Yarrowia lipolytica: one gene and its partners. The main gene of each other region encodes a partner of the protein of the gene in region 2 in a complex. Links are inferred from orthologs where the notes say so. Each region holds a gene or a part of one and is shown on either strand. Other genes may lie near its edges.

Region 1 (5,533 bases), about 340 kb from region 2:
TAACTACGGACACTCAACCACCCCCTCAACAACACTAACAAAGTCCGGAGGAATTGCGGGAACTTGCACAGATCTGTGTTTCTTCCCCATTGACACGCTCAAGACCCGTCTGCAGGCCAAGGGTGGCTTTTTTGTCAACGGAGGATGGCATGGAGTGTACCGAGGAGTCGGATCGGCTATCGTGGCCTCGGCACCAGGAGCTTCTCTCTTCTTCCTGACCTACGAGTACACCAAGACGCATCTTACTCCCCATGTGCGTGCTCTCATTCTCAACGATGACGTGGCACAAGGTGTCACTCACATGATTGGAGCTTCTCTTGGAGAAGTTGCTGCCTGTATGGTTCGAGTGCCCTCAGAGGTGATCAAGCAGAGAGCCCAGACTGGTCACTACAAGTCGTCCATGGAGGCCCTCAAGTCGATCCTCAATAACTCTAGCGGCGAGGGAGTGCTGCGAGGTCTGTACCGAGGCTACGCTACCACCATTGTGCGAGAAATCCCCTTCACCATGATCCAGTTTCCTCTGTACGAGTTTCTCAAGAAGAAGTGGGCTCGGGCCACCGAAAGAGATGTGGTCACTTCCAAGGAGGCTGCCGTATGTGGATCTTTCTCTGGAGGTGTTGCTGCTGCTCTGACCACTCCTCTGGATGTGATCAAAACCCGTCTGATGCTCCACAAGCAGAGACAGACCTTTTTCCAGACGTACCGGCAGATAGTCCAGACCGAGGGATACAGTGCTCTGCTCAAAGGCATTGGTCCTCGAACCATGTGGATCTCTGCCGGAGGAGCCATTTTCCTTGGAGTCTACGAGACCGCCAAGAAGAGTCTGACTGGTGTGCTCGATAAGCCCAAGTTGGACTAGGACAACCACGCATGATGTATGACTGACGAATGTAACAGTAATGAATTATGAATATGAATTGGGAAGGAGACGGGTTGTTCTTCGTGAGGATGACTTGGTGCCGCTGAAGTACTGCACTTCAACTTGCCTCATGATTCAGAACGGTTAGCGAGCACACACGAAGAAAGGTAAGACAATTTACACCACCAGATTGCCACGTCTCTTGATACCTACAAGTAATTGTCAACAACATGTTCACAGGCAATATCAGAAAGTCATCAGATTGAGGAAATATGAACAATGTCAGATCAACCTTCCCTCTCCAATACCTCCTTCCACACTATCCTCTCTTCGTATACTCTCTTCTGTATGTATCGATTGAAACTCCTAGATAAACTACTATATAAAGACGAACTTCAAAACACACAGTCAACATGCTCCCACTCCCATCGACATCTCCAACCATGTATATTACCATGTGGACTGTACTTCCTTCGTCAAAAAGACGCACTTCGTCAAAAAGACGCAAGTATGTCAACTATGGAGGTACTGTCCCTGATCAATGAAGTTGACTTCAGAAAGACCGTTCTCACCCACAACCCTCTCCTCGCCCGTGAAGTGGCCGACAGAAGTAGATGACACATGAGTGTGTCTTGCATAAGAGTTCCAGAGACTGTGAGAACAATGTATAAAAACTAGTCATCATCCAGTTTCTTTCAGGGTATCGGGACGAAATCTCTCTCAAGATTTCGGCACAATTGGCCGTAGAGGACGGGCTACGTCCCAGGATACTGGCTCACTTCTTTTGGTAGGCGAGATTCCGTCTAATGCTACCATGCGACTGACCCCTTCTCCTTCAAAGCTGCACATATCTTACAAGGACCAGCGACACTCTGGAGGTTCCCACATTTCGTTCATGGACGGAAACGTCAATGATGACTACAAACTGTTTGCTCTGAAGCACATTGTATTTTCTTAGAATCGTTCCCAATTCAGAGGAGAGCCTCCAGGAGAGGTTTGTATACCATCATGTGGGACGGACTGCGACTTTCAGCAAAAAAAGAAATGAAGCAAAAGTTGCAACGCATGCCAGTCCTTCGAATCGACAGCGTACCCAGTCCCAGAGTTCTCAATTACAGGGTTCTCAGACTGGGGTTACTTATTGACATCTGTACTTGCAATTCAATATAATCCCACTGTGTTTGTTCCTTTTGTGTTCTTTGTCGTCGTTTCTTCACTCTCGACAAACCATCACCTTGCCGCCGATCTTTCTCTTCTTAGCGTACTTGAGCACAAAGTTCTCCGTCTTGGTGCTCTTGTTCATCTTGATGGGTTCAATGAACGGTGTGATTTCGTCCAGTTCCCACTTGTCCTTGATCTGGAACAGTCGAGCAAACCGCTCCTTGGGGTCACGCGGCAAATCACTTTCGCTGAGCTTGTGAATCATAGTCTCACAAAGAGCATAGGAGCCTTTGATGAGGTCCAGGGAGACCATATCCTCGTCAAAGATCATGGGAATCGAGTTTTTCCACATGATCATAAACTGTTCGATCTGCACCGGCTCGCCAAGGGCGTTTTTGCCAATCCAGCTGATGATGTGCGCGAGATCGAGATTGTAGGGCTCAATGGGCGTTGTAGCAAACATCTTCAACACTGCCGTAACTACTGCTGGAGAAGTATCAGACACCACGTCAGATGCACTCACCAGGTTAAGCTGCTGCTTCTGTGATGCTAGCGAGGTCAGAATATCGTCTATTGTCTCCTTGATCAGACTATCAGCCAGCACACATGCCACTCCATCGACTTCCACTCCTCCAATTTGCGCCCAAACCTGGTCGAATTGCACTCCAGACATGCTGCTGCGGTTCCTTAACGAGTCCAGATCGTGCTTGGCGATGCGCGGGTCTCCCATGATACTGTCTCCGTCGTAACAGGGCAGATCAGAGGTGTCCAACTGAGGCGATTCACTCAAAGTGCACTCCAAAATGGGCTGGGTGATGCAAATGCTGGCGAGACCATCGTCACGTGTCTCCACCAGATGAAGGGTGTTGCTTTGGCTCCGTTGCTTGACGTTCCACGTCGTGTTTTTGTTGCACAGAACGAGCCGATCCTTGCCTCTCAGAGTCAGTGAGTAATGTTGCAGTTCCTTGGTTTTTTTGTACTCCTCCTCTTCCTCCCGTAGCTCGCCGATAATCTGCTCGGGCAGCTCGATCAGCCGATAAATGTGTCGCTTGTCGTACTCTTCGTAAAAATTGAGCTTCATGATGGTGGTGTTGAAGAGATGCACACGTTTCAATTAATTTAGACGCGTCGTGCATGAGAAAGGTGGATGGAGGGAGCTGGACAGTGTAAAAGAGACAGTAAAATCGGATAAAATGGATAGCGACGATTTATTTATATTCAAACATGGGAACAAAAATCGAGTAATATCCAATATAGCCAGATGGTATACCAAATATTCTTTAGCGATCAAGACAATAAGCCCATTGCGTTGGCTCGAGTGAGATAAGTGGGATCGACAATACATATACAGCACATGTATGTATAGATGATTGTACTTGTTCTGTATAGACGATTGTACCTCTCTCTGTATCCATACTCGGATACCCCTCCACAAACCGATAACCAGCTCCGATCATGTGATATCTACCCAGTCCCACCTTTGAAGACCACTATCCGCCTCGGGATGGTGTCGATTAGTTACATACTGTAGCAACATTTCAAGAAGTATCAGACCACTGTCATCTCGGCTTGGAGGCAAGGGGAGAGACTGCTAGCGACAAAGCGTTAGCGAATCCATCTCCATGTTGAAATCTGAACCTCTTGCGGAGATGGTTAATGGAAAACTTCCAGATCCCAAGAGAGCCCTTGGACATTCCAACCATGACGAGGTATTCTTCACACGATATCGAGCTGTAGTTTCTGGCCACAAATCCAGTTCCTGGTGCGGAAAAGACTTCTGTCTGCTGGTTGTCCAAGTCAATTAGCCCTATTATAATTCCTGTGGGCTTGTAAACGAGGCAGAACTGTGAATATTCTTCATCCTGATACACCTTGTACGGCTCATTTAGTTGTGGATCGGAGTCCAAGCTATGTAGAGACTTGCACACCCGGAGTCGGTATCGGGTTTGAAAATCAATGTTGAAGAAGGTGTCGTTGTAGTGAACGATACCAGCAGGAGCAGCTTTCCGGGGTCGACACCTCTGAGTATGTACTTTTCCACCTGGGGACACACAAATCACTTCAGAGGTCTTATAATCGCAGGCTCGAGCGTGCAAAAGAACACTTTTTCCGTTGACCTGCAGTCTGAAAGGCAGAGAAAGTCCATCCAAGTTGACAATTCCTCTCGTCTGGGGAATACCAGAGTAGATCAGATTTATAACACTCACACCAGCCAACATCTTTGAAGAATGTCTTGTCTGGATCACAGGTGCTCCTCCAAACGCATATGTGCTTCCGTAGTAACGTCCCATCGTGAGTCCTTTCTTGGGCTTCCCTTGGCCCATTTCGGGATGCTCCGTCAAATCCAAGAGTTTCTCGTCGAAAGAAATCCCGTTGTCGTGGTACTCCCAGGGAAAGATCTCGTCCACCTCTTTGCAGAGACAGTAAAAGTCGCGTGGAAGCGGCTGATCAATGTAGACAGGGCACTTGACCTGATCTGAGAACTCTACCCGCGAATTGTTCAGCTTGTGCGGAGCCTGGCAAGTATCGTCGTTCGATCTGCTGTACTCAATATTGCAGCAATCCCACACAGAGAGAAGACATCCGAGGATGAAAGACCCGGGAATATCGCGGCTGAGTTGCTGACAAGTTTCACGAAGAGCACAAAGATCTCTTGGTGAAACAAGTTCGCAGATTACCACCAGAATATCGTGTGGTAACCGGAGTATCATGGCTATGACAATGGGGAAGAAGAGGAGATAATAATATAGATATTCACTGTGCATATACGTTCAGCCTCAAAGAGAATTTAAGACAGTGGGCTGTAAAACACTGGATACCGAACTGGGCTATCAAAAAGACAGTACAGCAGTGCACAAGTGCTTATATAGCTGTGTCGTGTGTACGAATAAATATATGCATTTCATTATGTAGCTAGCGTGGCGAAGCCTTCCTTCCTGCGTCAACCAATGACTTATCGCCCTCCATTGGCCCCGTCAGGCTGTCGTCCAGGTGACCCATACGGAGGCAACACTCCCGTGGCCCGCAGCTCGTTGATGATATCCAAGGCCCCTGGGCTCAAGTCAAACTGACCAGTCTCCCGATTCAACGTCAGCGGCCCACCGCCCCCACTGTCTGGATCAATGTAGTTCATGGGGTTCATAAAGTCTTCAACTTCAAGACCTCCCACAAACACTCGTCCCAATTCATCCTCATATACATCGTCATCGTATTCATTTCCGTCATCATAATTGCCATACTCATCCACACCATACTCTTCATCCTCACCATACTCGTCCTCGTCTTCTTCCCAGCCATCCTCATCATCTTCGTCACTGTCGCCATCGCCTTCCTCTTCATGGGCATGATCACCATATCCGTCCTCCGGAGGCAGTCCAACGGGGTAGATCACCTGTCGTCCTCCACACGCACAGTTGGGGCTAGCGCACCCCTCAACATTCTCATCATCTACACAATCTCCCAGGTAGTGTTCAGGATTGTTTTCTCCTCGAGGCAGCTCACGCTCCGAACACG
Region 2 (5,330 bases):
GAAAAGTGCATTGACGTGATCCATGGATCGGACAAATGGGCAGCCAAGGTCGTCTACGGCGATACAGACTCGTTGTTTGTATGTCTACCTGGTCGTACCAAGGATGAAGCATTCAAGATTGGTACTGAGATCGCTGATACCATAACATCTGCCAATCCAGCACCCATGAAATTGCAGTTTGAAAAGGTCTATCTTCCTTGCATGCTCATATCCAAGAAGCGATACGTGGGCTACAAGTGGGAGTACTCGAAGCAGATGTATCCCATTTTCGACGCCAAGGGAATCGAAACTGTGCGACGAGACGGCACCCCTGCTGCCCAGAAGATTGAGGAGAAGGCTCTTCGTATCTTGTTTGACACTGCTGATTTATCTCTGGTCAAATCGTACCTCTACGAGCAGTGGACGAAGATTCTAACTGGTAAGGTCTCGATTCAGGACTTTTGTTTTGCCAAGGAAGTCAAGTTAGGCCAGTACAAGGAAGGGGGAGTGTTGCCCGCGGGTGCGAAGATCTCGGCTGAGAAAATGGCAGTCGACATGCGCTTTGAACCCCAGTACAAGGAACGTATCCCATATGTGGTTGTTGCTGGTCCTCCCAAAAGTCGGCTGATTGACCGATGTGTTTCTCCTGAAGAACTAGTCAGGAACGCCAACTCTCTCATTCTCGACGCCGACTACTACATTCACAAGACTCTGATTCCCCCTCTGGATCGGTTCTTTAACTGTGTGGGTGCTTCTGTTCTCAAGTGGTACGAGGAGATGCCCAAGAAGCGGCGGTACGAGTTTTACCAGACTGTTTCTCGAGCAAAGACCAACCAAACCACGCTCAAGTCGTACGCTGTGTCCAACTCGTGCATCGTCTGCAAGACTGCCCAGACGTCTGGCTTGTCTAAACTTTGCGCCACGTGCGAGAGTGATCCTGGTCATGCAACATTCGTGCTTAACTCCGATCTGAGGTACAGGGAGAAGCGGCTGGATGAGCTCAACACAATCTGCGCGCAGTGCTCAGGCGACTTTGAGACTAGGTGCGAGTCTCAGGACTGTCCTATTTACTACTCACGGGTCAAGGCAGTGAGTAAGGCGGAAGATGCAAGTGAGAGGCTAGTGGAGTGGACTGAGGGGCTGGAGTGGTGATGCAACGATGGAGAACTTATTTATTTGTATTGTAATATATTTATTTATAACTGCGCTGGTTGCCGTGTGTGCCTTCTGTACCACAGTCGAACCCTGGGTGAAGCGCCAAAGTGTTTCTGTAGTTGTGCCAGTATCAGCGTCTGTCCTACCAGTAGCTCGCGTCTTGACTCTAGTCCGTGGATGTCACCAAGTACAAAGAATCTAGAAGCACGGCGCCAACCCTCATTGGTGACACGAGGGGCTTCTTCTGCGATAATGGCCCTTCCTCACGAGCTCGCTATTCATAATTGCTTAGCAATATCCTGGGCGAGGAAACAGACACCTTCTGTTTCTCCCATTCCGAGTGGTAGGGTCTGCGAGGATATCCCTTTTCTCAGCTTCCCTTTTCTCAGCTTCCGAACACTTTCTGAACCAGTTCTGGGACGAAACTGCGATGTTGAACGCGTCATTGGCGCCACAGGCGATGATGGACCCGTTGAATGGACTACTGTACTTGAAGTAGCAGGGCAAAGGATATCTGCATGCTGTTCACTGCATCAGACCAACGCCTACTTTCAATCAATGCTTCATTATCTATATATATCCTTAGTCCTTCCTTCACTGCAATAGCACTGGCCAGTGTCTTTTGTTTTGCATGTACTTGCACTCACTTCACTGGTTACTCCTCCAACAAGACCATCACCTTTGCGCAAAACGCCTCCAGATGAAAGATATACTTCGCACCCAGCTTCAACCGATGCTCGTAGGTGGCTGCGGCAGAAATCAACGGCACCCTCAGATTGGCAGGCACCACCGGAATCAGTCTGTAGGTGAGCTCCTTGAGAATCGTCGAGGGAGGAATGCAATGGGAGAGCAGCTCATAAAAGAGCGATCTGATGGCCAACAGAGTGGCTGGGGTTCGAGATGACACGAGTTCTCGGGCAATACGGCCAATGACCATTTCCCAGTCAGGAGTAGGAATTGGAGTGTTTTCCGACACCGTTTTGGAGCCTGCAAAGGTGTACAGAGTCTCCAGAGTCAATAGAGCCTTCCGCAGGTTCCGGTCGCTATGCGAAGCAATCTTTTCCAGGGTTTTGGTGTTCTCAAGATCCACATGTTCCTTGGCAGCCACTTTTTCCAGTACGTTGACAATGTCCTGCTCGGTAGGTGCAGCGACTCGCACCAGCAGGGTTCGCGACCTGATGGGTGCAATGATATTGGAGGTGGAGTTAGTGAGCAGAATCAGTCGGATATTCTTTGTGTATTTTTCCATGGTTCGTCTGAGGGCAGCCTGGGCGTCACGAGACAGCGAGTCGGCCTCGTTGATGATCACCACCTTGAACCGTTGTTTGGCATTGAGGTCGACCTGCTGAGTTTCAGCAGTTTCCTTGAGCAATTGCTGGATCACAAGACGGTCATTGTTGCCCATGTCGGACGGCGTCACTTCAAGATGGTAAGCCGAGCAAATGACGCCGAGCTCGAGTTCTCGCTTCGACGGCGTCACGAACTTGTGGGACTTGGTGCTGATTTTCTCCACGCTGGGGCCGTAGAGCTTTTTGAGCAGTCCCATGACTCGGGTCTTCTTGCCTGCTCCCGACGGTCCGTAGACGAGAAGATGAGGCAGATCGCCTGTCGCGGCAAGCGCGGAAAACCGCTCGGAGATGTCCTGGTGGTAATCCACGTGATCGAGGGACTTGGGACGGTGTTTATCTACCCAGAGAGACATGTTTTGGGGTTGATGTGGTGATGGAGAAAATGGGACATGTAGAGACGCGTGTAAAAGTGATTTGGCGTTTAGAGTTTGCCAGTTGTAGAGATTGATGGAGGATACAAGGGTGTTGAGAAGTCGGTATTCGGGGAAATATACCAATATAAGATGTCGTAGAAGGAGTGTGAATGGGTTGATGAATATTTAGAAAAAAAAACCAGTCAGATTTGATTGCAGTTGTACGGATTTTAGGAAAATACACACTACTGGGTAAAAGCTTAACAATAACTTGTGCTTGAGTCAACCAAGTCTAACTAAAGTGAAGAGCCCACCGAAAGGGCATTTACTATAGAGAGGAGAGTTTGATTTCCACTCAATTCCACTCAATTCCGCTTTAGTTCACATCATTAACACACATCATTGTCATCCATCTCCGTGTCGTTTTATTCTAACCCCATTTTTTCCTCCGAGTAATTATCCTCCCGCGTAAAATTCAGAACGGGATTTTCCACGCTCTTGTGGGTCGAGAAAACCCAATTTTCACAATCTGTCCGATATAGTGTAGGGGTTATCACTTCCGCCTTTCACGCGGAGAACCCGGGTTCGATTCCCGGTATCGGAGTGTCTTGTTTTTTTGCGTTTCCGACCCCCACCACGTCTGTGGTGCTTGCTGTCATTTTCACGTACATTTCTCTTGCTTGTCCTGCATCTCAGCATTCCATGCAAGGCTGAGTTTAGGTTGTCGTATTTCAGAAACTGTATCAAGTGAACGAATGAGGTGAAGAGATGAGGTGAAGAGATGAAGGAGAGACAATATTTGTAGCAATGAGGGCAATAATCAACAATTATTCGGGTTAATCACGTGGTACACTCCTGATTACCTTGTCCCCACGCCCTTGTCTTCCCTGATGCTTCCTGGATACCGTTAGCCCATGGTCATACCATTCATAGCCAACCGTCAACGTCTCTTGTCCAAGCTGAAGGAGGCTGATATTTGCGTCCGAAAGGTGAGCCATCGCGTTTCAAGCAGTTCCAAGTGGCTTTTCGAGCCCAAGAAGTAAGCCTTGAAGTAAAAGCCCTGTCAATAGACTCGTATCATAGTACAAGGCTTAGCTACAGATGTTCAGCAAGGGGTAATGGCTTGGTTACACGCCCAGCAAGGCTCAGCACTCCGCAGCAGACTCCACAAGGCTCAGCAAGCTCTACCAAGCCCAGCAAGGAGTTGTGTATGTGCCAGACTCAGCAGGATACGGTCAGCCAGGGGGTGCTCAGATGATGATGCACGACCTGTTCTCCTTCTTTTACCCGTACTTGTGCATCGTACTCGTAAATATTGGTCAGCTTCACGATCCGTCAGGTGGCTTGTGTCTCAGATCTATTGCTCGGGAGGGTCGATGGTTTGCAAAATTATTGGCGTTTGGGGAAATTATTAGGGGAAATTATCGGAGGAAATAATTCTATGGGCGCAAAGATTACTGCACTTTTGGCGATAGAGAGACCTCGGTGAAATAATAGTGGGTGGGTGCAAGTCTTGATCCAGTTGTGTACTTTGGCGGTTGTATCATGCTCGTCTAATTTTGTGCATGAGTGCATCTGGCACACAAGGGACCAACAAGTGATGACCCTTCTTCTGATACCCCGCTACACGAGGATCCAGAACCACGTTAGCAAGGTGAAACGGCCCTTTAGTGAGCGTCTATTGCTGTCGTGTTGGGAAATTAGTGTGTGACGTCACTAGACTGGATTAGTCGGCCGTCTGGGGTAAATTACACCCGCTTGGCTGCGTTAGCGCCGGTTTTTAGTTCCAACCCAGGAGCCAAAACACATGAGGTATTTCAGGTATTATAACCCTGGACGAGGGCTTGTGAACCCTGTCGATCTAAACAGTCTTGATTGTGGGAGGTGTTAGAGCCTCAGCCATAGATTGTTTCAGATGGGCAGTGTGGATTCTCTCCATCCTCGAGGTTGACTGTAGGCCTGTTTGGTGCCTGACAGGAGGTACAGTAAGGAGTATCCAGAATGTACAAGTAGCCTGGGCTGCGGACGGGCTAAGGAACAAGCACCGCTGGTGTCTATCGGGGGTGTGTGCCATCATGTGATGCACGCCATTGTGTTGATGTTCATTGTGGGTTGTGTTCCCGACAGGATCCACGCATCGGCCGTCGATCAACAGGGGGTTCCTGGTTGCTGAAACAGTTGTACCTGGGTGAGCTGTACAGTGTGGTGATGGACGGAGATTTATGCGGCTCCGATAGACAATCGAAGGTGCCATCACCAACGACTGGCCATAATAAGTGTCAGTGTGGTACGAGTACAGTAAGAGTACAGTACGTTGACTACCTGTTGCGCCTTGCACCGCCAACAAACAAGCTCCACAAAGCTCCAGAATGTGTGTACCTGTATCCCTAGCGCATTCCAGATTACCACTGGCGAATATCGTTTTACGTTCCATAATGAGATTGTACTTGTAGTATACACATTAGATTCGGGAGTTGTGAGCGTCTTGTTGCGG
Region 3 (7,296 bases), on a different chromosome or scaffold from region 2:
GTGATTTGCACGTCTGTGAGTTGTTTACACACGATATTGCAATTCTAAAAGTACGTCGACATATCCATCACGTCGTCCATATCAATCTTTAGTCTATATACAAGTGAGCCCCTGATCCACGAACACTCGTCTCACACCCACAATGCCAGAGTAGCCGCTTATATTTCGCCCCACTAAAAGCACGCTATCGTCGCTCCCAAATATCCTCGGAAGAACCGCCGGTCATCTTCTCAGCCAGCTGCTTCATGTAGAACTGCTTTATTTTGGCCTTCTTGATCTCCTCGGGATCCAGCTTGACGCCCATGCAAAACTTCCACTTGTCCTTGGGCTTATCGCAGTAATTTAGAGAGCCGAACCGGTACAAGTTTCGCACCTGGCCGCCCACAGAGTAACATGCCACCACCTCGTTGAACGCCTCCCAACACGACATTTCCTCGGGGAAATAGACACGCATGTTCCTGGGTCCCTCCGGCAAAGTCGGCACCTCTAACGGATCTTTTTCGGTCTTTTTAGAGCTCTGCTCCTCAGAAGACACCTTCTTGGGCTTTGGCTTATAGACACCCAGCAGCTCCGAGGCTTTGACTCCAAACATGGCCTCGTAGTCATCGTCGTCTGATTTGGCCTTTGCCTGAGCAGCAGCTGCTTCGGCAGGCGCGGAAGTCGACACCTGCTCCTGAACGGCAGCCGTGGCAGGCTCCTCCTTGGGATTCCTGTTCCAGAACATTCCCATAGTGTGTGATGTGTGTGGTGTCGGAATTACTCGTGAAATGAAATTGAATTTCCGTGTAAGATGATTGAACTCTATACTGTACAGTACATTTTGAAATACTGTAGGGCTGCTTGCAAGTTTGGTCTGGGTGTTTGAAATGATAAGAATGACGTGGAATGCGACTATTTCTAATAGGATGAGGCACAGGCTGACTTACAGTAGTTGGCTCAACGCAGTACTTGTACAAGCAAACCCACAACATCAAAGAGATAGACATCCTCTCCAGCTCCCAACCCTAACCTGGCTTTGAAACTGGTACAATACCTGTTGTAACGGTTTTGAAGAGAGAAGAATTAATGTCTAGCTATGTTTATGGGATCTGAATCGTTAACCAGCGGTGGCTTCACTAATATCATCCTGTTTTCTTACGTGACATATTCACCCTCGACAATTCCAAACAGCACCAACTTAATTAACAGCATGCATATGGGTAAGCTCACCACCACAGGCATGTTGACCCAGTGATTCACCATGGAGAAAACCGTCAAGGCTGCGGAAAACCTGATCGACGCCCAGACAGACTACACAGTCACGTGGCTAGACTCGCTGGAGGTGGTGAATCGCAAACAGACACACAAGTACAAGCAACTTGCCGAGTCGACCAAGGGCCTCGAAAACGATAGAGAGTACCTCGAAGGTCTGAACAACGAGAACGCAAGGTACGTGGACCAGCTCAAACAGGTCCGTGGCCACCTCGATACTCTGGAGAAGCTAGTTGGAGAGGTGGACGAGTGGTCCAAGGAGCTGGAGGTTAAAGTGAGGCGAATGCAACAAGAGAGGAGTTAATCGCTACGACACCAAGACGCGATTACGGACCTTTTGACATGTCTTTTGACACGCCATCTTTCATATTGCCAGAATCTGTCTCTGATTTTGAGTACTGCAGCGAATATCAGACAGCATACCCCCTACAAGTTATGACACCACAACACGATTAATGATTAACGAATAACGACAATAGAATACGCTCAAAAATTTCATTAGGATGTATTTCATATAAATCAATTGCGTCTAAATACATACACAGTAGTAACAGGACAGGCTATTTTTTCTTAGCAGCAGCCTTCTTGGGGGCAGCTTTCTTGGCAGGTGTCTTCTTGGGAGCAGCCTTCTTAGGAGCAGCCTTCTTTTTGGGCTGATTGATGTACTTGTCCTTCGAAATGTCTTCTTCATCCTCTTCCTCTTCCTTCTCCACCTCCTCATTAACCACGTCTCCCGAATCAGGTTGGGCCTTAGACGCCTTCATGTCCATGGCAGTTCCAGACTTTATGTAGGGCACGGGATGCGACGAAGTGTTATATTTTCGAGTGAAGGCAGATTTGGTCTGAGTCTCGAGCTTCTTCATACGCTCTTCTCCACTGTCAGGACCAACACCCATCTCCATGATAGCATCCCAATCCTCTCGGGTGAGATAATACGAGTCCATGAAATCGATCACCTCAGGAACTCCCTCTGCCTTCTTAGCCAAAAGTGGGTCAAGAAGCTTTCGAGTCATCAAAGGCAAGTACTGCTGTCTCAGCTCTCGAGAGTTGCCCGAAGTCTTGTATCCAGCATGACTCTGAAGCTCCTGGAGAGCTCGAAGATGCTTTCCTCCCTTGGAGTTCTGACCCAGCCAGGACGTGAAGTTGAATCGTCCTCGGGCCTGGCCGGCAACGAAAGAAGCAGGCCTAACCGCACTCAGGAACCCATGCAAAGGCATCAGAGACCAGTGCTGCTGGGAGCCATGAATCATCTTATCAACAAGATCACCATCAGATATGGACTCAGCAGCAGCCAACGTCTTCCTCAAACGCTCCTTGTTGTCGCCTCCTCCACTAGGCTGCACGTTGAGATAGTTTTCCTGGATCATGAGAGGAACAAAGTCGTGATCGTTGAAATAAAGCTCAATCTTGTCATTGAGAGTGGCCTTGGAGGAAGGAGCCCATAGGCCTCCGGAAAGCAGCTTTCCAGTGATATCAAAGGGACTCAGAACCACATTCTTCTCCCATGACTGGGTCATCTTCTTACCAGACTCAATATCAAGACCACCCTCATTCTGGTTTCGAGCATAAGTCGACAGCAAGTTGATGATCTGACGAATATCTGAGTTGCAGCCAGCAATGACCTGCTCCAAAACAGGAGCTGAAATTTTGATCTTCTCCTGATGACAGATGGTCATCATTCGTGCTAGGATAGCCTTGGGGTCCATTCGTCGGAAAGGAATGTCCAGAGTCACTCTGTCAAATGGACGCATCTTAGGAAGACCCTTGTCGTTACAGATGAGGATGATTGGCACCTCAGTAGTTCGACACAGGGCAGCCATCTGGCCCACACCTCCTCGATCACCAGCAGACATACCATCGACCTCGTCCATGATCATACAGATCTTCTTCTCTTTGGAAGACTTCGCTGAGCTCATGAAACCCATGATGGAGGTGTTTGTGAGAGCTGAAGAAACGTCCTGAGCAAGCAACTTTTTAGATCGCACATCCGAGGCGTTGTTCTCAATCACATCATAGCCTGCAAGGTTGGCCACCAGATGCGCAGCAGTAGTCTTACCGATTCCAGGGGGACCAGACAGCAGAACAGCACGATAAATGCCAAATCCATCTTTTCCAGGCTGCTTGAATCCATGTTTGGCATTGTCGTGCCAGTTGTTGAGCCAGTTTTGTAGCTTGGTCACCGCTCCCTTGTTTCCGCAAACGTGATTCAGGTTGTTGGGGGCGTATTTGACTGTCCACAGCTGGTCATCCATAGACACAGCCCGAGGGGCTCCAGAAGCGTCCGCCTTCTTGGATGCAGCTTTCTCCTTCTTTTCTCGCGCCGCCATCTCAGCAGCCATCTTTGCGCTCTCAGCAGCAATCTTGTCGGCCTCTTCTGCCTGCTTAGCTAGCGCCTTTTCAGCAGCAGCACCCCCTCCACCGTCAGCAGGCATGAGTCTGAGCAGTTCCAAGAAACCAGCTTCATCCAGAGCCTTGGTTCTGAGCTTCTTGATCTGCTCAATCTTCTTGGGTCCGGCATCTTCTCCCAGAACAACACAGTTGGTCTTACCAGAAATGGAAGAAGTGACCTTACCTCCGTACTTTTTGACTGCGGCCTGACCCTCTTCTCGCGACAAGTTGGGCATGGTGCCAGTGAAAACGAACGTGAGGCCCACCAGACAGTTTTCGGCCGCCTCAGGAAGCTCCACTGCTCCTCCTCCTTCTCCACTTCCAGTGGCCGTGTTCTTGGCCAGATGCTCTCGGAAGTTGAACTTCTTCCCCTCCTCGACCTCGGGAAGCTCGGCGTCGGGTAATTGCGCTAGTACAGACTCTGCTGTAGCCCCTCCAGGTGCGGATCGAGCATTGGGGGCGGCCGTTGGAGCAGCCTTGGGCTTGGGGGCAGCCTTTTTAGGAGCACGCTTGATTTGCTCGAGATCGTCGTCATCGAGATCGTCATAGTCAATGATTGGGCCCTTATTTGATACGCTTGCCTTGGGAGGTGGCTTCTTGACCACATTGTCGTCCTCATCAATCTCAATCACATCGTCATCCTTGACTGGCCCCGATCGTCGTGTTCGTCGCTGCACAGGTTTCACGGGCAAATCATCGTCGTCCACAAACCCGTCGTCGCTGTCCATATCTATCTCATAAGGGGCCTCTCCATCTTCGCTGTCAGAATCGTCAATCTGGATTGTCCGCTTTTTGGGAGCAGGTTTGGCAGGAGACTTGGTCTTAGCAGTGGGATTGGGCTTTGCGGGAATCTTTGGCTTGACGGGCGACTTCTCGGGCTCGGAATTAATCTCCTGTTTGACCTCCTGTTTGACCTTTTTGGGCTTTCTCTCTTCGTCCACAGACGTGGTGGCTGGCCGTTTCTATGTTAGTGGTTTTTGCGTGAATCAAAACAGATGGGCAGTGCAATTGGTACTCACGTCATTGGACTTGGCCGGCGCCTTGGTCTTTTGGGCTCCAAAGAAACTGCGGATATCTTTGGGAGGCATTTTTTTTGCACTGCGTTCCAGTGGTGATAAATGGAAAGCTTCGTGTTGACGCGTTTTGCAGTGCTGCGGTTGGGAGAGGCGAAAGAAGAGGCAGGGGAGTAATTACAACAGAGAGGTTACTGTATATTGTGACTACAATAAGTGATGAAAAATAATCACAGGTAAGAGGTTGTTGAAGCAGTTTATCTATGCAATTTAATGATCGTGAAATGAGTTGTTCTTGTATTGTGGGCAATTATTGTACCCACATGCTGGCTTGCTGCGTGTGATGGCAGGTGGACTTCGTAAGGTGAACAATGTAATAACAGATTAAAGAACAGATTTGGATTATATGACTATTAGTGATCAATTGTAATGGCTTGATGGTCATAAAATCTGTTCACATTGACACTTCAGCCAAGATTCATCAAGTTATAACCCTCTACAGTATGTACTCGTACTTCTACTGCAACACTCACTCCCTCACCCTCCTCCTAACGTCAATCACATGACTGTGCGTCATTAATGCATCCAGAGTTTATTGGAAAAATATGTCCATGCAGAAATAAATTATCCACCCTATTTCAAACCAGCACGCAAATAACACACACAAAAATGGTCAAGGGAAAAGTGACCAAACCGGTCAAGAAGGCTACTAAGTCCAAACAATCGGCTGCCATGATTTCCAAAGTAAAGGACGACTTTGTCATGACTCTAGATTCCGACGGTGAAGATCTGGAGGAGGAGAGTGCAGACGAGAAGGAAGAGGTGGAGGAGAAGCCTGTCAAGCTGACAAAGAAGCAGAAGAAGCAAAAACTCAGTGAAGCCGACGAGGAGCTACTGGAGCGAGAAAAGCAGGCTGCCAAGGCCGGCATCAACCCCGACTTCCAGTTTTCGCTGGACGGATTTGCTGCCACCTCTGAAGGTCTGGACGGCTGGAACTTTGAGGTGTCCAAGGACGACAACAAGGTCCAGAAGCGAGAAGTTGATTTGGACAGCATTATCAAGAGAAAAGGAGGCCTTCTGGACGAGGACGAGGACGAGGACGAGGCCGAGACAGACGTTAAGATGGAGGAGAACGAAGATGATCTGGCCATTGATGGTTTCGGAGGAGGAGTCCAGCCCGGAAAGGACATGGATGAGCCTGAGGACGAGGACGAGGAGAACAAAGAAGAGGTTGAGAATGAAGAGGAGGAGGACTCTGATGGAAGCGACTCCGAGGCTGAGGAGTGTATGCACCCCGATGATTTGGTTTTGGATGACCATAAAGGCCCTGCCATCGACGAGGGACCCCAGGACACTGCCGAGGAGATGGCTGCATTCTACGCTCCCGAGGAGGAGAACAACGATAAGACTGAGTCTGTGCACAAAACCTTTCAGACTCTGAATCTGTCTAGACCCGTCATGAAGGGTATTTCTGCTCTGGGATACCAGGCCCCCACTCCGATTCAGAGCAGAACCATCCCCATTGCTCTCATGGGCAAGGATCTGGTTGCTGGTGCCGTCACTGGTTCTGGTAAGACTGCTGCGTACATCATTCCTGTTTTGGAGCGTCTTCTCTACAAGTCCTCCAAGGTCGCAGCCACTAAGGTTGTGGTTCTGACTCCCACTCGAGAGCTGTCCATTCAGGTCGCCGATGTTGGTAAGAAGCTCGCACAGTATGTTTCTGGCGTGCGATTCGGTCTGGCTGTCGGTGGTCTGAACCTTCGAGTTCAGGAGCAGGAGCTCAAGACGCGACCCGAGGTTGTCATTGCTACCCCCGGTCGATTTATTGATCATGTTCGAAACTCTCCCTCGTTCAACGTTGACGATGTCGAGATTCTGGTGATTGATGAGGCTGATCGAATGCTGGAGGAGGGTTTCCAACAGGAACTGACCGAGATTCTGACACTGCTTCCCAAGAAGCGTCAGACTCTGCTTTTCTCTGCCACTATGAATTCGTCCATTTCGTCGCTTATTCAGCTGTCTCTTTCTCGGCCCGTTCGAGTCATGATCAACCCTCCCAAGCAGGCCGCTTCTGGTCTGGTGCAAGAGTTTGTTCGAATCCGTAAGCGAGACCATCTCAAGCCCGCTCTGCTGGCCTCCATCCTCAAGAAGATGGACAAGGAGCAGCGAACCATTATTTTCGTGGCCCGAAAAGAGACTGCGCATCGTCTTCGAATCATGCTGGGTCTGCTCGGAGTCCGAATTGGAGAACTGCACGGAGCTCTGTCTCAGGAGCAGCGTCTGCAGTCCATCACAGCATTCAAAAAACTGGAGGTGCCCATTCTGGTCTGTACCGATCTGGCTTCCCGAGGTCTGGATATCCCCAAGATCGAGTGTGTCGTCAACTACGACATGCCCCAGACCCATGCTGTCTACCTGCATCGAGTTGGACGAACTGCTCGAGCAGGACGAGAAGGTCGATCCATCACTCTGGTCGGGGAGGCTGCTGCTGACAGAGCCATTGTCCGCGAGGCTATCAAGTCTGTATCTGAGAGTAAACAGGGCAAGGCCGTGGGCCGAAACGTGGACTGGCCTGAGGTCGAGAAGCTATACTCCAAGATCGAGGAGAAGGGTGACATTGTCAACGAGATTCTGGCTGAGGAGA
Region 4 (5,467 bases), on a different chromosome or scaffold from region 2:
GCCGACAGATCGAGCCCGTCGTCGTCGTTGCTGTCGTAATCGGAGGCGTCGGAGGCATCCAGATCAATCACATTGTGCGTTTCTTCGTCTCCGGAGTCAATGTACAGTGGCTGGGACGAGTTGTCTGTGTCTGTGTCGTTAATGGTGAGCATGCGCGATTCGGGCGTCGATGCAGAGCTGTGGACAGAAAGCGGTGTCCCGGACATTGCCTGTCGCTGGACTTGCTGCCTGTGTACTGTTTGCAGTTTGGTATGGTGTTTTGTTGGACTAAAAAACGGACTCTGTTTAGGTTTAAGCACTGGGCTTACTTGGTTCGGAGTGTGAGATATTGTTAGGAGGCTAAGGCGGCGGGTAAAGCGGGATGAAAAAAGAATAGTACTACTCATTTGTGAACGATCCAAGCCATCGCCTTAGATCACGTGACTAGAAGTCACTCCGCACTCCTCGTTATGCAAGATAACGTTATCTTACAGCAACACAATGTCAATCAATATACATAATCGTTCATTCATCATATATAACTAACAAATCTAGTTCATCTTGGAGATAATATCGTTAGTGACCTGCTCGGTAGAGGCAGATCCTCCGAGATCGGGAGAAAGCAGCTTGCCCTCAACCAGGTTGGCGTCGACAGCCTTGTAGATCTTGGCGGCCTCCTCAGGGTAGCCAAGGAACTCCAGCATCAGAGCGGTGGATCGGATGGTGGCAATGGGGTTGGAAATACCCTTACCCTCGATGTCGGGGGCAGAGCCGTGGCAGGGCTCACCAATGACAAAGTCGTCGCCAACGTTGGCAGAGGGGACAACACCCAGAGAGCCGACGAGGGCAGCGGCTCCGTCGGACAGAATGTCTCCGTACAGATTGGGGGCAACCACAACGTCGAAGAACTGAGGCTCTCGGAACAGTCGGTAAACCATGGAATCAACAATCTGCTCGTTGATGATGATGGCATCAGCAGAGACGCCCTCGGCCTTGAGCTCCTTCTCAGCGGAGGCTCGGGCAACCTCTCGGAAGAGACCGTCGGAGGTGGACAGCACGTTAGACTTGTGGGTGATGGTCAGAATGGGCTTCTCGTGGAAGAGCTTACCGCCCTCGAGCTTTCGAACCTGCTCTCGCTGCAGAGCGATCTTGGTGGCGATGGTGGCGATCTTGTCGGTGGCTCGCTCGGTGATTCGCTTGATGGCCTCGGCCACCTTCTGGCCGTCCTGCTCGTAGGCACGCTCCTCCTTGATGTACAGATCCTCAGTGTTCTCTCGCACAATGACGAGATCGACCTTCTTGTCGGTGGCCTGGACGGCCTTGACGGGTCGCACGTTGGCGTACAGACCCATCTTCTTTCGCAGAGCGACAATGGGAGAGGAGTAGCCTGCGACCTTGGTGGTGGGAGAGGAGACAGCACCAAAGAGGGCACCGTCACACTTTCGCAGCTCGTCGACGGTCTCGTCGGGCAGAGCGGTTCCGGTCTGCTTGAAGAGCTCGAAGCCGGCCTTGAGGTCAACAAACTCGAACTTGAGCTTGTTGGACGGCAGGTTCTCGAGAATCTTTCGGCCAGCGGGGATGACCTCTCGGCCAATACCGTCTCCGGGGATAAGACCTGGGTTAGTATAGGTAAAGAATGGCTGAAGCTCTGGAACGAAAAAAAAAAACCACTTTTCCGTTGCCGAATCGAGCAAAATCTGGGGTGGCATCGGCCATGCCAGGGTATGAGTCACACTAATGCTTGTATGATCCTTCCGTGTCGCTTGATTGTGCTACTCACCAATCTTGAGAGTCTTGGCTCCGGTGGAGTACATTCGGGTCTGGAGTCGCATGGCTCGGTTGGCAAACATTTTGTCGAAGAGAATGGAATGACAGTGTCGAAGAAAGAAGGTGTGCGACGGTGGGTTTTGGTCAATCAGTCAGTCATCATAGAGTTTGCTAATGCACAGGCTGCAGCTCAGATCCGAGTCGGCCTCTAGTGCAGTTCCTGACTCTGCAGAGAGCAGCTGCAAGTTCAATTCTCGCTAAAACCAACCAATTGTCCATATTAATGGCCCCTATATATCAATTCCATCTCTATAACGACCGGATCACCTCCAAAATACCATGTTGCACTGGTCAACGTCAATTCACATGATTTGGAAGAAAGACAGCTATATAGTAGCTCCCAGCGAGCCTATTTCGGAGCATTGAGCGTTGAAAGTGTCACTTGTACCTTAAAGTGTGCGCGGTTCGAGTCTCGGTGTGAAGGAATAAAGCACTGGGAAAACTTCAAGACAAGATTGTAATCATCAACAACTTATCACACAAAAGCACGGTAAAAGTACAGCACATAAGTAGTTGTATTTGCACGGTAATCTGGCCTGATCCATCGTATTAAGCCGAGTAACATTCACGGTATAAGGTCAGTACAATCTCCGTTGTTTCATTGATGCTGTACACCTCCAATCCTCCAATCCTCCAATCGACGTGTTTGACACCGCCAAACTTTAAATAGCTCGTTGGTATTGCCAGGGAGAACGGTTCCGAAGGCAGTCGTATAAATGTGTGAGAAAAGGGTCTACACACCTCCGTTCAAAGTGTCACGTGACCCTGGAGATGTACTGTACCACCATCCGTTTGTCATTGGAGTATTGAAAGTCCAAAAGCCGTCTCTAAATCTGCCCACCAGCCACCCTCGCCCCCTTTATACTTGTCTGCACACCTGTGTTACCCTACCGACGCGTTGTGGTTAATCCCAATTGGGAATAGTGATTTGTCGCGTTTTAGATTAAAACACGTCCCTCTTTCTTTTCCTCCATCTACACCACCACCACAGTAACTCTTCCAACACACACACACATCTAACAATGCTTGAGGCCAAATTGAACGAAGCTGCTCTTCTCAAGAAGGTGAGTAAGACAACCGGCAACGGAACATCAATTTGTGTTTGCATACCCCTATTCCTTGTCTTTACTAACCCAGATCATCGATGCCATTAAGGACTCCGTGACTGATGTCAACTTTGAGTGTTCCGAGACTGGAATCGACGTACAGGCCGTCGACTCTTCACACATTGCCCTGGTGTCTCTGAAGCTCGGATCCGACGGCTTCTCTGACTACCGATGTGACCGAAACATCACACTCGGAATCAAGGTGGCTTCGCTTGTCAAGATTCTGCGATGCGCTAACGACCGTGACGCCCTGACCCTTATGGCTGACGACAACGGCGACCAGCTGCGGCTCACCTTTGAGGACTCCAAGTCCGAGCGAGTGTCTGAGTTTGTGCTCAAGCTCATGACGATCGACCAGGAGCATCTCGGAATCCCTGACACCAAGTACGAGTCGGACATCACCATGCCCGTGGACGCGTTCCAGAAAATCATGCGGGATATGTTCATGCTGTCCGAGTCTGTCAAGATTTCGTGCGACAAGGAGGGCGTCAAGTTCAGCTGCAAGGGCGACGTGGGAGACGGATCCGTGCTCATCAAGCCCTCTTCCTCGGTCGACGACGAGGGATCTACCACCATCGCTGTCGAGACCCCTGTGTCCATGGAGCTCAACCTCAAGTACCTCAACAACTTCTGCAAGGCGTCGGGCCTGGCCCAGAACGTGCATCTGGGCATGTCTTCCGAGGTGCCCATCATGGTCGAGTACCTGCTCCCCAACGGCTACCTGAGATTCTACCTCGCTCCCAAGATTGGCGACGAGGACGAGGAGGACGAGGATGATGACTAATGGACACGACAGTAGAATAGGCTAGTATAGGCGCATTAATTATAGGAAAGATTATAGAACACGAGTGACTACAGTAGTACATTTGTAGTGAGCACATCGGGAGCACAGTTGGAGAGAATGGCCTTCCTTTTACTACAGGAATTGTAGTAGCACTGGAAGTACCTGATCCGGTTTGAACAGTATGGTAATGTGCACACTGTACAGTAAGTAGATGAACGGCAGTATACTGGTAACAAGACCAAACAGTTGATAAGTCTACAAGTACAAGTACAGTAGTACAGTATGTACTGGTGCAGTAGACAAACCGACCTCTGATGTAACGCCATTCTAGTTTCAGATCAATATGTTTATGTGGAAAGTGGCTGTAAATGGGTCGTGATGGAAAGCGCAGTGTACATCATACTACATGAAGATACCGTTGTAGCTGCTGTGGAACAGTGTCAACCACGTTCCAGAGTGACAGAATGTTTTACTGGTAGATAAGCAGGTGACCAAGGACTGGTACATCTCCCTCTGCTTACTAACCATATCCTTCTCAAGTCCATCCGCTACAGTCTCACTTGTGAGACATCTTCGGGAGTCTTTAACTTAACAAGCATGTACAAGTGCTATTCTGGTACGGACAGCATGGTGCCAACCTGATAGGACGACACGCCGAGCTGCTGAGATTCTGCACCTCTTCTGTGGTTGTCTTTGTGGGTTGTACAAGCACTCGTTAGTTCTCTACTAATGACCCTGGGCACAGGTGCACGATACATGTGGGTTTTGATGCTACTTGTATACATATTACAAGTGTTGGTAGGTGGTCGTGCAGTATCTTACCATGGCGATATTTGTAGGGTTCAATGTCTGATGGCTCGTCTGCCACCACCAATTTCTTCGTTCTATTCTAGAGTTGTTTTCAGGGCCTCCGGCTAGCTCCAATCTCGTGCAGTATGTTACTCGTACTGGTGAGTTAATAGGGCGGTATTGTAAAAGAAGAGCCCAACTAGACGCGTCCACAATAGGCCTTGAGCATGAGTCTATAGGGTTGTTAGCGTATGGCCATGTCTAGTTCCATGGCGTTAGCGTGCTTTGTGTGGAGGAGGCCACGTAGCGTGTACTTGGGAGGGTTGCCGACATCTTCGTCTTCTTTTTCGTGTCATTTTCTCCTCCACACACCCATCCTTTGGCTGCTACGTACACACGGTCTATGTTCCTCCACCTCAATGTTATTATGTGGAAACCTACGGGTCCATAAGTCTTCCCCACTGATCACCACTCGTATCTTTACCAGGCGAACTTTCTCAGGCCTGAACCAACTAACCGGGTCTCACAGGTGCGGCTTTTTAGACGACCCGGTGCGAGTGTGGAAGGAAAAAAAAATGCAGTCACATTGCGGACCACGACGATGACGTGTTCTGTTACACAGACGCCGTCACCCAACGCATAGACTACAAGTACGTTCTTGTGGCACCACTTGCTCGTCTCTTGTTACACTCTACTTCACTTGCCGGTTGGCTCTTCCCCCACATGCCGATCTCTACACCCTTGTCAACTAGAGTTTAGGGAAATGCACAAGCGGGATAGAGTTAAGTATCCAGACCAAATATGGGTGACGGCATCCGCGGGGGCTCTCTCTCAACCAAGCCATAAAAGAGTCGGTAGTCCTGGAGAAAGACCAAAAAGAAGACGGATTTGCAAAAGACCATTTTGGAGGCTCGCACAACAACAGCATGACAGACACGAAAGAGCAATCGAGTCTACCCGAAAAGGACCCCGCCATGGACCC

What was found.
Region 1: YALI1_C29983g (region 2) and YALI1_C26580g share a complex: the UniProt entries of both Saccharomyces cerevisiae proteins name them as parts of the CTF18-RFC complex. The link is inferred for Yarrowia lipolytica from reciprocal best matches to the Saccharomyces cerevisiae genes RFC5 and DCC1.
Region 3: the proteins of YALI1_C29983g (region 2) and YALI1_B22020g are in contact, whole or in part, in a cryo-EM structure (PDB 7TI8), measured with the Saccharomyces cerevisiae proteins. The link is inferred for Yarrowia lipolytica from reciprocal best matches to the Saccharomyces cerevisiae genes RFC5 and RFC1. Residues at the interface, in NP_009644.3 of Saccharomyces cerevisiae: Trp4, Val5, Asp6, Lys7, Arg9, Lys50, Met54, Leu68, Ile70, Leu85, Asn86, Val88, Glu95, Thr97, Asp100, Asn141, Glu142, Glu209, Arg231, Val232, Leu235, Glu238, Ser239, Leu242, Asn243, Glu245, Ile255, Pro257, Asp258, Trp259; in NP_014860.1 of Saccharomyces cerevisiae: Leu590, Gln593, Glu594, Tyr596, Leu597, His610, Leu611, Glu612, Val614, Ala615, Ala618, Asn619, Ile621, Ser622, Leu623, Asp625, Ile626, Glu628, Lys629, Trp669, Gln672, Lys675, Ser676, Tyr679, Tyr680, Leu683, Gln684, Tyr688, Arg691, Leu692.
Region 4: the proteins of YALI1_C29983g (region 2) and YALI1_D13226g are in contact, whole or in part, in a cryo-EM structure (PDB 7TI8), measured with the Saccharomyces cerevisiae proteins. The link is inferred for Yarrowia lipolytica from reciprocal best matches to the Saccharomyces cerevisiae genes RFC5 and POL30. Residues at the interface, in NP_009644.3 of Saccharomyces cerevisiae: Arg67, Lys69, Asp71, Val72, Arg73, Ser89, Ser90, Pro91, Glu115, Ala117, Gln118, Met119, Glu120, Val122, Asp123, Phe124, Asp129, Gly130, Leu131, Lys136, Asn164; in NP_009645.1 of Saccharomyces cerevisiae: Asp42, Ser43, Arg44, Val45, Asp124, Leu126, Glu129, Leu131, Tyr211, Glu232, Ala233, Pro234, Ala251, Pro252, Lys253, Phe254.

Annotation. Positions count from the first base shown.
Region 1 is NC_090772.1:2,654,978-2,660,510, forward strand, and holds YALI1_C26580g (uncharacterized protein), read right to left. Parts: upstream 3,102-5,533; coding exon 2,073-3,101; downstream 1-2,072. Other genes in the region: YALI1_C26544g (uncharacterized protein), read left to right, coding at 44-859; YALI1_C26566g (uncharacterized protein), read left to right, coding at 1,674-1,750, 1,800-2,004; YALI1_C26597g (uncharacterized protein), read right to left, coding at 3,580-4,785; YALI1_C26616g (uncharacterized protein), read right to left, coding at 4,974-5,533. UniProt on the Saccharomyces cerevisiae protein: Component of the RFC-like complex CTF18-RFC which is required for efficient establishment of chromosome cohesion during S-phase and may load or unload POL30/PCNA.
Region 2 is NC_090772.1:2,995,512-3,000,841, forward strand, and holds YALI1_C29983g (uncharacterized protein), read right to left. Parts: upstream 2,837-5,330; coding exon 1,790-2,836; downstream 1-1,789. Other genes in the region: YALI1_C29926g (uncharacterized protein), read left to right, coding at 1-1,131; YALI1_C29968g (uncharacterized protein), read left to right, coding at 1,312-1,740; YALI1_C30007g (uncharacterized protein), read right to left, coding at 4,698-5,270. UniProt on the Saccharomyces cerevisiae protein: Component of ATP-dependent clamp loader (RFC and RFC-like) complexes for DNA clamps, such as the POL30/PCNA homotrimer and the checkpoint clamp DDC1:MEC3:RAD17 complex.
Region 3 is NC_090771.1:2,199,529-2,206,824, reverse strand, and holds YALI1_B22020g (uncharacterized protein), read right to left. Parts: upstream 4,728-7,296; coding exon 4,659-4,727; intron 4,602-4,658; coding exon 1,812-4,601; downstream 1-1,811. Other genes in the region: YALI1_B22060g (uncharacterized protein), read right to left, coding at 185-730; YALI1_B22055g (uncharacterized protein), read left to right, coding at 1,241-1,555; YALI1_B22015g (uncharacterized protein), read left to right, coding at 5,232-7,296. UniProt on the Saccharomyces cerevisiae protein: Component of the ATP-dependent clamp loader RFC complex for the POL30/PCNA homotrimer DNA clamp.
Region 4 is NC_090773.1:1,320,111-1,325,577, reverse strand, and holds YALI1_D13226g (uncharacterized protein), read left to right. Parts: upstream 1-2,828; coding exon 2,829-2,870; intron 2,871-2,943; coding exon 2,944-3,696; downstream 3,697-5,467. Other genes in the region: YALI1_D13251g (uncharacterized protein), read right to left, coding at 1-386; YALI1_D13238g (uncharacterized protein), read right to left, coding at 531-1,688; YALI1_D13201g (uncharacterized protein), read left to right, coding at 5,412-5,467. UniProt on the Saccharomyces cerevisiae protein: This protein is an auxiliary protein of DNA polymerase delta and is involved in the control of eukaryotic DNA replication by increasing the polymerase's processibility during elongation of the leading strand. Involved in DNA repair.